2 linked regions of the Anolis sagrei genome follow. The protein of the gene in region 1 purifies or fractionates together with the protein of each later gene. This does not show direct contact. Links are inferred from orthologs where the notes say so. Each region holds a gene or a part of one and is shown in the gene's direction. Other genes may lie near its edges.

The links.
Region 2: the proteins of WWP2 (region 1) and POLR2C purify together in Homo sapiens (affinity purification with mass spectrometry; 3 studies listed by BioGRID and IntAct, with this or other methods). This does not show direct contact. The link is inferred for Anolis sagrei from reciprocal best matches to the Homo sapiens genes WWP2 and POLR2C.

What each region holds. Positions count from the first base shown.
Region 1 is NC_090028.1:28,882,212-28,890,035, forward strand, and holds the start of WWP2 (NEDD4-like E3 ubiquitin-protein ligase WWP2), read left to right. Parts: upstream 1-4,786; 5' UTR 4,787-4,862; intron 4,863-7,824. Other genes in the region: RNA-binding protein NOB1, read right to left, coding at 756-889, 1,894-2,026, 4,615-4,677. UniProt on the Homo sapiens protein: E3 ubiquitin-protein ligase which accepts ubiquitin from an E2 ubiquitin-conjugating enzyme in the form of a thioester and then directly transfers the ubiquitin to targeted substrates.
Region 2 is NC_090028.1:6,440,950-6,448,425, forward strand, and holds the start of POLR2C (DNA-directed RNA polymerase II subunit RPB3), read left to right. Parts: upstream 1-4,465; 5' UTR 4,466-4,483; coding exon 4,484-4,622; intron 4,623-5,843; coding exon of another isoform or gene 5,844-5,848; coding exon 5,849-5,893; intron 5,894-6,128; coding exon 6,129-6,197; intron 6,198-7,476. UniProt on the Homo sapiens protein: Core component of RNA polymerase II (Pol II), a DNA-dependent RNA polymerase which synthesizes mRNA precursors and many functional non-coding RNAs using the four ribonucleoside triphosphates as substrates.

The sequences.
Region 1 (7,824 bases):
AGGACTTGCTGTGGTGTCCCCGGGGGCCCGGCAGCCATTCTGGAGAGGCGGAGAGGGTGGGGCCGAAGGAGGAGGTGACGCGACTCCTCTGAAACAGCCCATCGACCCCTCTGGAGTCGCAACCCCCAGGTTGAGAACCATTGCCTTAAAGTCATTTATAAAAGGTAGACATTTGTGCAAGGCCACATAGAGCATCTCATCATTGGAATCCCTGGTTCTAGGTTCCTTTGGATTTTTCATCTATAATAATAAGGATAATAATATTTATTACTCCACGATACCCATCTATTTATTCCCCTCAAAATCATTTATAAAAGGTATCATGTCAGGAGGCCTTTTGGGCAGGACAAATCAATGAAATCCCTGGTCCTAGCTTCCTTTCAAAATAGAATAGAAAAGTTTTATTTTCATTGTGTTGTTGCACAATGAAATTAAATGCCTTCCCCAGCTCACACCACAAAACATACCCATCCGTTTTCAAAGGTCACTGGCAAACCAAAGAGATGTACCCTGATATTCAGTATGTTTCATTTATAATTATAATAATAAGAATACTCTGCCTCTCCTTGCAGCTCAAGGCAGAATACAACACAGTTAAAACACAACACTATCAAAATACATATAATATTATCATTTGCAAGAAAAGTAAAAATACTTTTGGGGGGTCATCTAAAAAACAGGTTAATTGGAGTATAAATGTGCATTTTGCACACTGAGGAGGCAAGCATAGATATGAAAGCGTCTGCTTCTCCCACCTTCTGCTCAGGTTCCGTCTTCAGGTGAACAATACCAACATTCTCAGCTTCCAGCTGGTAAGTCAAAGCCAGAACCTTTAAGTCTGTAGCCGAAAGGCTGGGATAGTCACCCGTCTTCTTGGAAAACTCGGTCACTAAAGAAAGGGAGAGAAAATGGCATTCCGTCATTGAATCCATATACAGAGCAGTAGTTTGATAGTCCCATGCTTTCCAGCCAAAAGGCCAAGGAAGAAGAGAAGAGGCTAACGATGCTTGCTCAGGGATATGGCCCTATCTCTCTCTTTGGGAATTATCAAAATAAATATTTATGACTTGAGCTACAGTCAATGCGGAGGCTTGTGTAACAGAAAACACATGACCAAAGTTGTGCCCAATAAAACCAAGGTAGCAGAAAATGCAGCATACAGAACTTGCCAAGGCCAAAAAGGAACTTTTAGAGACTAGTATCTTATATAAGGAAGTTATGGCTGCCCCAAATGAGCAAGATTTCTGAATGACTGAGGCTCTAGAGGCCACCTGTTTGCCAAGAGTCCAAATAAGCGGCCTCCAGAGGATTTGGGATGCAATCCCTGTACCTTTATGCATCGATACCTTGATTTAAGAGTCTAATTCGTTCCATGACAATACAAAGTTGTGGCAAAGAAGCCAAAGCACCAAGTAAAGAGGCAGAAGCATCCTTTTCTTCTTCCTCCTCATTCCACCCACCTTCCCTCCCTCTCACTCTTTATGAAGCCAAACAGATCAGGAATTAAAATTTATTAAAAACACACAAAATCAACAAACCCAAAGTTCCTCAAAGTGGACAAGAGCAAAGCGGATAGCAATCTCCCAAAGCAGACAGACAGAGCAAGAAGGTTGCTCCCTTGAAGCCCTAAAGCCCTGAACTCTTGCGTTAGCACTTCCTCTGGTGCTGGCTCTTAACTCAAAATGCTGCTTGTATGTCAAAGCAAACACAGGCCAATTGACAGTTCTTAACTCAATATGCTCTCAACTCAATTGACAGTTCTTAACTCAAAATGTTCTCAACTTGGGACACTCTTAAGCCAAGGTTCCACTGCATAAGTCTTGTATTCCAAACATCCTTCAAGATGGATGGCAATCTGGGAGCAAAAGCAGTAGGTCTGCAAGTGGGGCTTACCCAGGCGGATGTATTCAGGGAAGGGCTGTTTGAAGTTGAGCTGATAAGGAAGGACTGCCAGGCGACGCTTGGTCTCCTTGTCCCGAATCTCAGCCACCACCTCCCGCACAGTGTAGACGTTTTGGCCGATGTCCTGCACAGAGAGAGGGAAAGGGTTAGGGGGGTACCGCCGAGGAAGGCTCCACCCAAAAACATCCCAGAAAAGCAAACTCTTTAGGATTCCCAAGTGGTCTATAATGTCCCACTAGAAGTGGAAAGGATCACCAAAGACCATCAACTCCCTTCTTTCTGCTAGGCAGGGAGGCACGATCCAAGCCCCCTGAGAGATGGACATCCAGCCTCTGTTTAAAGCCCCCAGGAGAAGGAAAAAGACTCAGCCAGGCTCCCCGACAGTCTGTATCCTATGGGGAGGGGTCCCCAAAAGGGCCACCCAGTTCTTGTGCCACGATTGGGCTTTATCTGCTGCTGAATCCCAGCATTGGCTCACACTCAGCTCATGGTAGAATCACAGAACCCTAAAGCTGGAAGGAATCCTCAAAGGTCATCCAACCCCTTCTTTTTGCTAGCCTGGAAGACACAATCAAAGCACTTCCGCAGCCCCTAAGTCAAAACCTCCAGCAAAGGAAGGAGACTCCACTGGACTCCCAGGCAGTCGGTATGCTGCCATTGAATGGTTCTAAACATCAGAAAGTTCATCTTTAGGTTTCAATGGAATCTCTTTCCTTGCAGTTTGAATAATAGTAATAATAATAATAATAATAATAATATGTCAGTAAAATAGTTTTAATTTGGCTCAAGGTGGGTTACAGGATTACTAAAACATAAACAAGCATATAATAATTTTAAAACATTATATAAAATAACATACCTCTATAAAATATGTTTTAAAACACACAAAACAAAAACCAAGAATTCAGTAGAATTTAAAATTCACAATTAAAACTGGGTAGGCCTGCTGGAAGAGATAGTTCTTCATTTGTATCTTTAATTCCGACAGCTGATCCAGCTGTCAGGGCTCTACTGGCAGGTTATTCCAGTCAGGTTTTGGCTAGTGGAGCTACCACCTCCCAGAGGAACAAAGTAAGTGGGACGGATTGTATGGGAGAAGGCAATCCTTTAGGTAACCTGAACCCAATGGGATTTTGGCCTGCATCAATAGCAGTATAGTGTCTAGATCTAGGGAAGTCATGCTCCCCCTCTATTCTGCCTTGGTTAGATCACACCTGGAATATTGTGTCCAATTCTGGGCACCACAATTGAAGAGAGATATTGAAAAGCTGGAATGTGTCCAGAGGAGGGTGCCTAAAATGATCAAGGGTCTGGGGAACAAGCCCTATGAGGAGCAGCTTAAAGAGCTGAAGAAGAGAGGGCTGAGAGGAGACATGATAGTCATGCATCAAGTATCTGAGAGGAAGTCATAGGGAAGTCATAGGGAAGAGGGAGCAAACTTGTTTTCTGCTGCCCTGGAGACTAGGACGTGGAACAATGGCTTCAAACTACAAGAAAGGCGATTCCATCTGAACATGAGGAAGAACTTCCTGACTGTGAGAGCTGTTCAGCAGTGGAACTCTCTGCCCTGGAGTGTGGTGGAGGCTCCTTCTTTGAAAGCTTTTAAGCAGAGGATAGATGGCCAACTGTCAGAGGTGCTTTGAATGCAATTTTCCTGCTTTTTGGCAGAATTGGGTTGGACTGGATGGCCCATGAGGTCTCTTCCAACTCTAGGATTCTATGATCCCCAGATGAGGACCCTTGATGGCAAGCACACCTATTTCAATATGTTTTCCTCATGTTGCTGTTGTTGTTCATTCATTCAGTCGTCTCCGACTCTTCGTGACCTCATGGACCAGCCCATGCCAGAGCTCCCTGTCGGCCGTCACCACCCCCAGCTCCTTCAAGGTCAGTCCAGTCACTTCAAGGATGCCATCCATCCATCTTGCCCTTGGTCGGCCCCTCTTCCTTTTGCCTTCCACTTTCCCCAGCATAATTGTCTTCTCTAGGCTTTGCTGTCTCCTCATAATGTGGCCAAAGAACTTCAACTTTGTCTCTAGTATCCTTCCCTCCAGTGAGCAGCTGGGCTTTATTTCCTGGAGGATGGACTGGTTGGATCTTCTCGCAGTCCAAGGCACTCTCAGAACTTTCCTCCAACACCACAGTTCAAAAGCATCTCTCTTCCTTTGCTCAGCCTTCCCTAAGGTCCAGCTCTCACATCCATAGATGACTACAGGGAATACCATGGCTTTGATTAGGCGGATCTTTGTGGCCAGTCTGATGTCTCTACTCTTTACTATTTTACTGAGACTGGACATTGCTCTCCTCCCAAGAAGTAAGCGTCTTCTGATTTCCTGGCCACAGTCTGCATCTGCAGTAATCTTTGCACCTAGAAATACAAGGTCTGTCACGGCCTCCACATACAGCCTCATACAGCCCATTATATGCTCCAGGAATTCATTCCTTAGCTGAGGCTGCTTGTGAAGGCATGGAGAAATATATGTGGGCGTCACGAGCAAACTGCGAACCCAGGGAACAAGCCTTGCCTTCTCCTCTTCCAAATAAGGAAACATGGCTGCCGGGCCCCCTTCTCTCCTCCAAGGCAAACACTCCCTGCAGCTCCCTCAGCTCTTCCTGAGAGGAATTCCTGACTTCCAGGCCTCTGGCCCTTTTGGCGGCCCTTCTCTGGACGCCTCCCAGCTTAGAGCCCACCTGGAGGCCTGTGAGACCCACCTGGAGCGGGGCTGCCTTCAGAAAAGCCCCCGCGTCGGCCACAACGTGTTCCACCGGCGCCATCTTGCCCTCCTCTCCCGCGCAAGGCAGCCTGGGAAACGCAGGGCGCCGCTGATTGGTCCGCTTTGGCCTCTCTCGAACTTTGCCCCAGAAAGGCGGAGGGTCATGTGACGCCTCGCCTGCCTGTCACATGACCCACGACTTACAGGAGGCGGAAGTGGGAAGAGGAAGGAGCTCAGCCGCCGCCGGTAAGAGGAACAGCCTGTTGCCGTTAGTCTTGTTGTGGTTTGTGTGGCTGCTGTGAGGCTTCTTCCCCTTCCTCTCAAGGTCCCAGGCTTTGCTTGGGGTTGGGAGCTGAGGCGGGTCGGCCTTGGATGGGACTTGGAGGGGAGACCGGTGGGGAACGCCAGAGGAAGGAAATGAAGGGGGAAAGCGCCTTCTCGGGCTGCAGTTGCCAGAAGGGGCGACTGGGGGATTCTGGGAGTTGCAGTCCGAAAGGAAGACCCTTCCTCAAACCTAGAAGGCCTCCTTCTCTCTCTGACACAGGCCTGAGCCAACTTAGGCCCTCTATCCAGGTGTTTTGGACTTCAATTCCCATAATTCCTAATGGCCTCAGGCCCTTTCCTTTTCATTGCTTATTGACAGAACCCCAGCCATCACTTGCCCACTTCTGCTCCAGCCCTGGCTCTGATTCTGCCCAAAGGCCCTCTGGACCTCTGTGGATGACACAAACGAGCATGAGCCTCATCTGTCACACTCAGAGTGATGTTGAGAGTGATCCAGTGGGTGCTGATGGAAGAAGAGAATAGTTTAGAGAAATAAATAAATATAGAATCCTACCTATCCGACCGCATCTTTGCCTATGAACCCACCAGGACTTTGAGATCTTCCGGGGAGGCCCTGCGCTCGATCCCGCCTGCTTCTCAAGCACGGCTGGCGGGGATGAGAGATAGGGCCTTCTCGGTGGTGGCTCCTCAGCTGTGGAACGCCCTTCCTATGAACATTAGATTAGCACCATCTCTAATGGTATTCCGCAAAAAAGTGAAGACCTGGCTGTTTGAGCAGGCGTTCGAATAATTAGTGCAATGATTGGTTAATGAACACTGGAATGGAACAATGGATGACAAATCTGGAACATGTTTTTGATGACGAGACGACAGTGAATGGGTATTGTAGTAACTTTATTAATTATGTAATGTGTTACGCTGTGAACTGTTTTTATACTGTAGCACTGAATTTTTGCTGTTCGTATTTGTTGTGAACCGCTGTGAGTCACCTTCGGGCTGAGAACAGCGGTATATAAGTAAGGTAAATAAATAAATAATAAATAAATAATTAATGCTGGAGTTGGAAGGGACCCCCAAGGGCCATCCAGTCTGACCCTTTCATTCATAGATAGATAGATAGATAGATAGAATGGACCATCCAGTCTGACCCTTTCATTCATAGATAGATAGATAGATAGAATGGACCATCCAGTCTGACCCTTTCATTCATAGATAGATAGATAGAATGGGCCATCCAGTCTGACCCTTTCATTGATTGATAGATAGATAGATAGAATGGGCCATCCAGTCTGACCCTTTCATTCATAGATAGATAGATAGATAGATAGATAAAATGGGCCATCCAGTCTGACCCTTTCATTCATAGATAGATAGATAGATAGATAGAATGGGCCATCCAGTCTGACCCTTTCATTCATTGATAGATAGATAGATAGATAGATAGAATGGGCCATCCAGTCTGACCCTTTCATTCATTCATAGATAGATAGATAGATAGATAGAATGGGCCATCCAGTCTGACCCTTTCATTCATAGATAGATAGATAGATAGAATGGGCCATCCAGTCTAACCCTTTCATTCAAAGATAGATAGATAGATAGAATGGTCCATCCAGTCTGACCCTTTCATTCATAGATAGATAGATAGATAGATAGAATGAATGGGCCATCCAGTCTGACACTTTCATTCATAGATAGATAGAATGAATGGGCCATCCAGTCTGACCCAATCATTCATAGATAGATAGATAATTTAAGGTGCTGGTGTTATCCTACAAAGCCCTAAACGGTTCCGGCCCAAAATACCTTTCGGACCGCATCTCGGCCTATGAGCCCACGAGGACCTTGAGATCGTCCGGGGAGGCCCTTCTCTCGATCCCGCCTGCTTCACAGGCACGTCTGGCGGGGACGAGAGAGAGGGCCTTCTCGGTGGTGGCCCCCCGGCTGTGGAACACCCTCCCTGCTGACATCAGACAGGCGCCCTCCCTTATGTCCTTCCGTAAGAGCCTCAAGACATGGCTATTTGAGAAGGCATTTAACTGAGTGCTACAGTAACTGGAAATGACAACTGGAACGGAATATGGATTACGAGATTGGTTATGATTCTACTATAAGACGGAGCGGATTTTTTAGTGTAATTAGATAATTGTGTATTAGTGATATATTGTTTTTTGTCGTTATGGCTTATTGTAAATTGTCTTTTATATGTTGTACACCGCCGTGAGTCGCCCTAGGGCTGAGAACGGCGGTTAACAAATGCAGCAAATAAATAAATAAATAAATAGATAGAATCTTACAGTTGGAAGAGAATCGAGGGCTATCCAGTCCAATCCACTAAAAGACAGAAAGAAAGATACATATATAGAGGTCATAGAATCTTACAGTTGGAAGAGAACCCAGCACTATCCAGTCTACCCCTCTAAATCATAGGTCTCTTCCACACAACCATATAAACCAGAATATCTGCTTTGAACTGGGTTATCCGAATCCACACTGCCATATATTCTAGTTCAAAGCAGATAATGTGGGATTTTATTCAGCTATGTGGAAGGGACCCTAAGGGCCATCCAGTCCAACCCTATAAGTCAGTGGCTGCTAAACTGGCTGGGATTTTTGGGAGTTGTAGGCCATAACACCTGGGGACTCACAGGATGAGAACCACTGCTCTAAGTCATAGATCAATAGAATCCTAGAGTTGGAAGAGACCCAAAGGATCATCCAGTCCAACCCGACAGATGGCCCTCTAGCCTGTCCTTGAAAACCTTCAGAGAAGGTTTTTATGGAGATCCTCAGTGAGACTCATCAACTAGAGGGAACCAGCTAAGCCTTTTCCCACTGGTCTGACTGTTGTGGTTCTCTTTATTCAGTGGCAGTACATGCTGAAGAGTAACAAAAAGCAGGTGAACCCCCCAAAATGAGCTGG
Region 2 (7,476 bases), about 22 Mb from region 1:
GCATCGAGTCCTTCGGGAGATGCTAGCGGGGTACAAATAAAGTTAATAATAATAATAATAATAATAAAGACACACAACAGATATAGACAAACAGTGAGAAGCTATTTAACTTTTCTGGCCACCAGGGGAGCTGTCGCTTTCATCGTTTATCTGCAACACTGATGAAGTACTTCCACATTCCCCGCATGCTTTTGCTGGAGTCTTTTTTATGACCTCGTAAATTTTGTTAAATTAGGCTCCCCACACATAGATGGTACCTAATTTTCCTACTTGACAGATGCAACTGTCTTTCGGATTGCAAAGGTCAACAACAAGCTACACAATTGGTCAGAAGCTCACTCCGACCCGGGTTGGCTTCGAACTCATGACCTTGTGGCCAGAAGTGATCTTAATGCAGCTGACACTCAGACAGCTGTGCCACAGTCCCGGTGCTTAGAATTCCTTATTTAAAAACAAAGCTGTTGGCGCACCAAAGCTTCAGCAATTGAAAACAAAACCTTGGGGCGGATCAATGCTGTAGAATGAATCCACATTAACTGCCCTGGCTCAATGCTATGGAATCCCGAGGGCTGTAGCTCTGCAATGCCTCAAGCCTTCTCTGATTGAAGCAAATACGGTATATATTTACTCACAAAATGCCCCTATAGCCATAAGCAGTCTAGTAATAATAATGCAGGGAGTACACATACACAGGCCACCTATTCCTGAATAATGATCTCTAAGATAATGAGAAAGAGGTTTTCAGCAATAGCAGATTACAGCTGCAATATCCATAGATAGTTTGTTTATATCTCAAATCTAATCTCTGCTTAAAAGCTTCTAAAAAGGAGGCTCCACCACACTCTGGGACAGAGAGTTCCACTGCTGAACAGCTCTCATAGTCAGGAAGCTCTTCCTAACGTTCAGGTGGAATCTCCTTTCATGTAGTTTGAAGCCATTGCTCCATTGTGTCCCAGTCTCCAGGGAAGCAGAAAACAAGCTTGCTCCCTCCTTCCTATGACTTCCGCTCACATATTTATACATGGCTATCATGTCTCCTCTCAGCCTTCATTTCTTCAGGTTAAACATGCCCAGCTCTTTAAGCCACTCCTCACAGGGCTTGTTCTCCGGACACTTGATTATTTGAGTTGCCCTCCTCTGGACACATTCCAGCTTAGAGTCAACATCTCCCTTCAATTGTGGTGCCCAGAATTGGAAACAGTGTGAGTCCAAGTGTGGTCTGACCAAGGCAGAATAGAATAGAGGGGGAGCATGACTTCCTTGGATCAAGGCACTAGATCCAAGCTTAGGAAGGAACCCACCTTAAAAACTTTCAAGAGGGATCTCAAAACCTGGCTTTTGGAGAGTAGCCATACTATCATACACAGTTGCTCCCCCTCAACAGTTTTTGTCCTCAGAGTATATTTCCTCACCTGTATGAAAGTATATTTTATGACCCATTTTAATGAGTTTCTCCCTCACAAACAATCTGCTCCTTTGCTGTTTTGCTGTTGTAATTTTAGAGTTTTACACAGAGAAGCCATTGAAATCCACAAGCATGTGGACAATTTCAACAGAAAGGAAGAGACCATGAAAATGAACAAAATCTGGCTACCAGTATTAAAAAACTCAAAAATTACTACAGCAAAACAGCAGAGAGGAAACAACCAGGCACATCTTAACACCTCTCAACAAAAGATTCCCCCAGGCTCAGCCAGGCCTTCAAATGCTACTGAAGGTGGTCAGTTGAAACATTCACACCTAGCTCCAGCAGAGAAAAGCTCTTTGCCCCACCCCAGCCCGTCCACAGATATATAAACCCATGGTCCTAATTCCAACAGACCTCACTACCTCTGAGGATGCTTGCCGTAGATGCAGGCGAAACGTCAGGAGAAAATGCCTCTAGAACATGGCCCTATAGCCCGAAAAAACCCACAAGAACCTAGTGATTCCAGCCATGAAAGCCTTCGACAATAGTATTAAAAAAACTCTAAAATTACAACAGCAAAACAGCAGAGAGGAAACAACCAGGCACATCTTAACACCTCTCAACAAAAGATTCCCCCAGGCTCAGCCAGGCCTTCAAATGCTAATGAAGGTGGTCATTTGAAACATTCACACCTAGCTCCAGCAGACAAGAGTTCTTTGTCTCACCCTGGTCATTCCACAGATATATAAACCCTTTTTCCTAGTTCTAACAGACCTCAGTACCTCTGAGGATGCTTGCCATAGATGCAGGCGAAACGTCAGGAGAGAATGCTTCTAGAACATGGCCATATAGCCCGAAAAAAACCACAAGAACCTAATTTTGATTATACTTGCTCCAGAGGGGCATAGTTTGAGAAGGGCTCCATACATCATTTGTGCTATGGATTTTGCCTCAAAGAGCTTAAACGCTGCTTGTATGTAGGGGTAGTATGTAGGGGTAGCATAATATCACAAAGGACGACCACCTCACCAGCCTCATAGGAAACCTGCTACAAAACAGGAGCTTCTTTGTTGAGTTCCAGGGTCAGAGAAGCAGATGGCGGAAACAGAAGAACGGACTGCCTCAGGGGAGCGTGCTTGCTCCATCCATGTTCAACATCTACACAAATGACCAGCCACTGCCAGAAGGGACAGAGAGTTTCATCTACGCTGATGATCGTGCCATTACTGCTCAAGCAGGGAGCTTTGAGATGGTTGAACAGATACTCTCTGAAGCTCTAGGTGCTCTTACTGCCTATTACAAGGAAAACCAACTGATCCCCAACCCATCTAAAACACAGACATGTGCCTTTCATCTCAAGAACAGACAAGCATCCCGAGCTCTGAAGATCACCTGGGAAGGAATCCCACTGGAGCATTGCAGCGTACCCAAATATCTGGGAGTCACTTTGGACCATGCTCTTACCTACAAGAAGCACTGCCTGAACATCAAGCAAAAAGTGGGTGCTAGAAACAATATCATACGAAAGCTGACTGGCACAACCTGGGGATCACAACCAGATACAGTGAAGACATCTGCCCTTGCGCTGTGCTACTCTGCTGCTGAGTATGCATGCCCAGTGTGGAACACATCTCACCACACTAAAGCAGTGGATGTGGCTCTTAATGAGACATGCCGCATTATCACAGGGTGCCTGCGCCCTACACTACTGGAGAAATTACACTGTCTAGCCGGTATTGCACCACCTGACATCCGCCGGGAAGTAGCAGCCAATAGTGAAAGGACCAAGGCAGACATCTCCAGCCCATCCCCTGTTTGGGTATCAGCCAGCACGTCAACGACTTAAATCTAGAAATAGTTTTCTAAGATCTACAGAGACACTCACTGGAACACCTCAGCAAGCGAGAGTCCAAAAATGGCAGTCCCAAACCCAGAACCTCAACCAATGGCTGATACCAGATGAGAGACTTCCCCCTGGGCACACAGAAGACTGGGCGACTTGGAAGGTGCTGAACAGACTGAGCTCTGGCACCACGAGATGCAGAGCCAACCTTCAGAAATGGGGCTACAAAGTGGAATCCACGACATGCGAGTGTGGAGAGAAGCAAACCACTGAACACCTGCTGCAATGCAACCTGAGCCTGGGAAAATCCCCTGTTGAGAGGTGTTAAGATGTGCCTGGTTGTTTCCTCTCTGCTGTTTTGCTGTTGTAATTTTAGAGTTTTACACAGAGAAGCCATTGAAATCCACAAGCATGTGGACAATTTCAACAGAAAGGAAGAGACGATGAAAATGAACAAAATCTGGCTACCAGTATTAAAAAACTCTAAAATTACAACAGCAAAACAGCAGAGAGGAAACAACCAGGCACATCTTAACACCTGTCAACAAAAGATTTTCCCAGGCTCAGCCAGGCCTTCAAATGCTAATGAAGGTGGTCATTTGAAACATTCACACCTAGCTCCAGCAGAAAAGAGCTCTTTGCCCCACCCAAGCCATTCCACAGATATATAAACCCATTGTCCTAATTCCAACAGACTTCACTACCTCTGAGGAGGCTTGCCATAGATGCAGGCGAAACGTCAGGAGAAAATGCCTCTAGAACATGGCTCTATAGCCCGAAAAAAACCACAAGAACCTAGTGATTCCAGCCATGAAAGCCTTCGACAATACCTATAAGCACTGTTATCCCGCTTTGGCTGCCATGGCAACATGCGAGAGGGCAATGAGGCCGGCAATAGGGGCCTCTCAGGCATTCCAAGGCCTCGCCACACCACAAAACCCCTCAAAACGTTGCCAAGGTATAATATTATAGCCGGGCTATAGTAAAGCAGTGTGACAAGGCTCTCGAGAGGAAGAGAGAGAGAGAAGGGAGCCTGGAATGGGAGAAGAACCGCCTTCCAGTCAGCGAGGGCCTACCTTGCTTGCTTCCTCCCTGTTTCGCCGCCGACCGCCGCCTGGAAATGACGTCGGCGCCGCTCTGCTCCCCGATTGGCGGAGAGCGCGGCCGGCGTCTCCCAGCAGCCCCCGCGGCTCTCGGCGTCCGCGCCAATCCCGGCCTCGTTCCTGCTGCGCATGCGCCGTGGTGTTTCAGGCTCTTGCGGCCTTGTTTGGGTCTCCCGCCAGCCATGCCTTACGCCAACCAGCCCACCGTCCGCATCACGGAGCTCAGCGACGAGAACGTCAAGTTCATCGTGGAGAACACGGACTTGGCGTGAGCGGGGGCTTGTGTGGAGGAGGGGCAGGGCCTAGTCTGGAGAGGGAAGCCGGGGCCTAGAGTGCTTCTGCTGCCCCACTCAGGCACGGAGGCGTCTCAGGCCACCTCCTGGGCTTGGGAAATAGTCCCATATTATTATTATTATTATCCCCTACAAAATGTTTAGACAAAATTTTTAAGACTAACAGATTTATTTATTTATAGCTGTCTCCTGCCACGCGTTGCTGTGGCCCTCCTGTATATATATGTATTTGTGTGTATATATGTGTGTATATATGTGTTGCATATGTGTGTGTGTGTGCCTATGTGTAAGGTAAAGGTAGTCCCCTGACATTGTTGTTGTTGTTCATTCGTTCAGTCGTCTCCGACTCTTCGTGACCTCATGGACCAGCCTACGCCGGAGCTCCCTGTCGGCCGTTACCACCCCCAGCTCCCTCAAGGTCAGTCCAGTCACTTCAAGGATGCCATCCCCTGACATTAAGTCCAGTCATGTCTGACTCTGGGGTGTGGTGCTCATCTCCATTTCTAAGCCGAAGAGCCGGCATTGTCCGTAGACACCTCCAAGGTCATGTGGCCGGCATGACTGCATGGAGCGCCGTTACCTTCCCGTCGGAGCGGTACCTATTGATCTACTCACATTTGCATGTTTTCGAACTGCTAAGTTGGCAGAATCTAGGGCTGACAGCGGAAGCTCATGCCGCTCCCCGGAATCGAAACTGCGACCTTTCGATCAACAAGCTCAGCAGCTCAGTGCTTTAACCCACTGCGCCACCGTTGTGTATATGTGTGTGTATATGTGTGTGCTTGTCTATATGCATATTTGTTTCTATATGTGTGTGTATGTGTGCATGTGTATATTTGTGCATGTATATATGTGTGTGTATGCAGATGTATGTGTGTTTATAGTTGTGTGTGCTTGGGTATATTTTTATATGTGTGTTTATGAGTTTATGAGTATATGAGTGTGTGTGTATGGTGCATTTTGGGGTTTTTAAGTCTGTTCTGCTAGGGGGGGCTGTATTTTTAGTGGTGATGAACACTCGTTGGACTGTTAGGTGTATTGTGTCAAAAATTCGTGTCAATTCGTCCAGGCCGCCCCTGCCACACGTTGCTGTGGCCCACTCTGGTGGTCATGGGGGTTCTGTGTTGGAGGATATAAATACATATAATACTGCTAATAATAATAACAATGAATATTTCTCTGTTTTTCTTTTCCAGAGTAGCTAATTCCATCAGGAGAGTGTTCATTGCTGAAGTTCCCACCATCGGTATTTATCTATTCTTTATTGTTTATCTATTAATTTATTTTATTTTAAACATTTATATTCCACCCTTCTCATCCCGAAGTGGACTCAGCATATATACGGCAAACATTCAATGTTGGGACTCAAATTCTTATATGTATACATAAACAGTATGTTAAAGTCCAATACTACGAATTGAAGACTTTGAGCATGATTAATCAAATTGCTATTATCTCATTTTGTACTATTTTGTTTGCAGCCATAGACTGGGTACAGATAGATGCCAACTCCTCGGTCCTCCATGATGAGTTCATTGCACATAGGTTGGGTGAGTAACCGGCATAGGACACGATAGGAAAACACAGGCTTCTCTAGTTTTGTTTTTAAAACAATATTTTATTATGTGCGTAATTCACATAAAATACATTCCAATGCTTTGATGCCGAGCCTCTTTCTAACTCTGGATTTTTCATAAAATAGTGTAATGCCCAACACATTTAATTTTTCAGATTGTACTAGCATTCAACATTATTAATTACATTTTTAGTAATATCCCCAAGTTTTTCCTCTCCTGCTATATTTTTCTTATGTTATATGCCCTTTGGGAATTCTGGATCCTGTTTATTTATTTGTCGTGTCAGAGCAACCAGTCCATTATATTACATTTCTAACAGAACAAAGCAAACAAACAGACAAATACAAAACTTGTGAGTTTGGTAGTTGGTTAAATGTCCTTTGATGGGTATCTGGCCACTTGGAGTGCCTCAGGTGTTGCTACAAGGAGGTCCTCCCTGGTGCATGTGGCAGGGCTCAGGTTGCATTGCAGCAGGTGGTCAGTGGTTTGCTCCTCTCCACACTCGCATGTTGAGGATTCCACTTTGTAGCCCCATTTCTCAAGGTTGGCTCTGCATCTCGTGGTGCCAGAGCGCAGTCTGTTCAATGCCTTCCAAGTCGCCCAGTCTTCTGTGTGCCCAGGGGGGAGTCTCTCCTTTGGTATCAGCCATTGGTTGAGGTGCTGGGTTTGAGCCTACCACTTTTGGACTCTTGCTTGCTGAGGTGTTCCAGCGAGTGTCTCTGTAGATCTTAGAAAACTATTTCTAGATTTAAGTCGTTGACGTGCTGGCTGATACCCAAGCAGGGGATGAGCTGGAGATGTCTCTGCCTTGGTCCTTCCACTATTGGCTGCTACTTCCCGACGGATGTCAGGTGGTGCAATACCGGCTAAGCAGTGTAATTTCTCCAGTGGTGTAGGGCGCAGACACACCGTGATAATGCGGCATGTCTCATTACAAGCCACATCCATTGTTTTAGTGTGGTGAGATGTGTTCCACACTGGGCATGCATACTCAGCAGCAGAGTAGCACAGCGCAAGGGCAGATGTCTTCACTGTGTCTGGTTGTGATCCCCAGGTTGTGCCAGTCAGCTTTCGTATGATATTGTTTCTGGCACCCACTTTTTGCTTGATATTCAGGCAGTGCTTCTTGTAGGTAAGAGCACGGTCCAGAGTGACTCCCTGGTATTTGGGTGCGTGCGCCTTGCTTTGGGACCAAAGTTCTTGATTTGTTCCATCCGTAGATCATCCAGGCCAGCTGGATCCTGTGAACCAT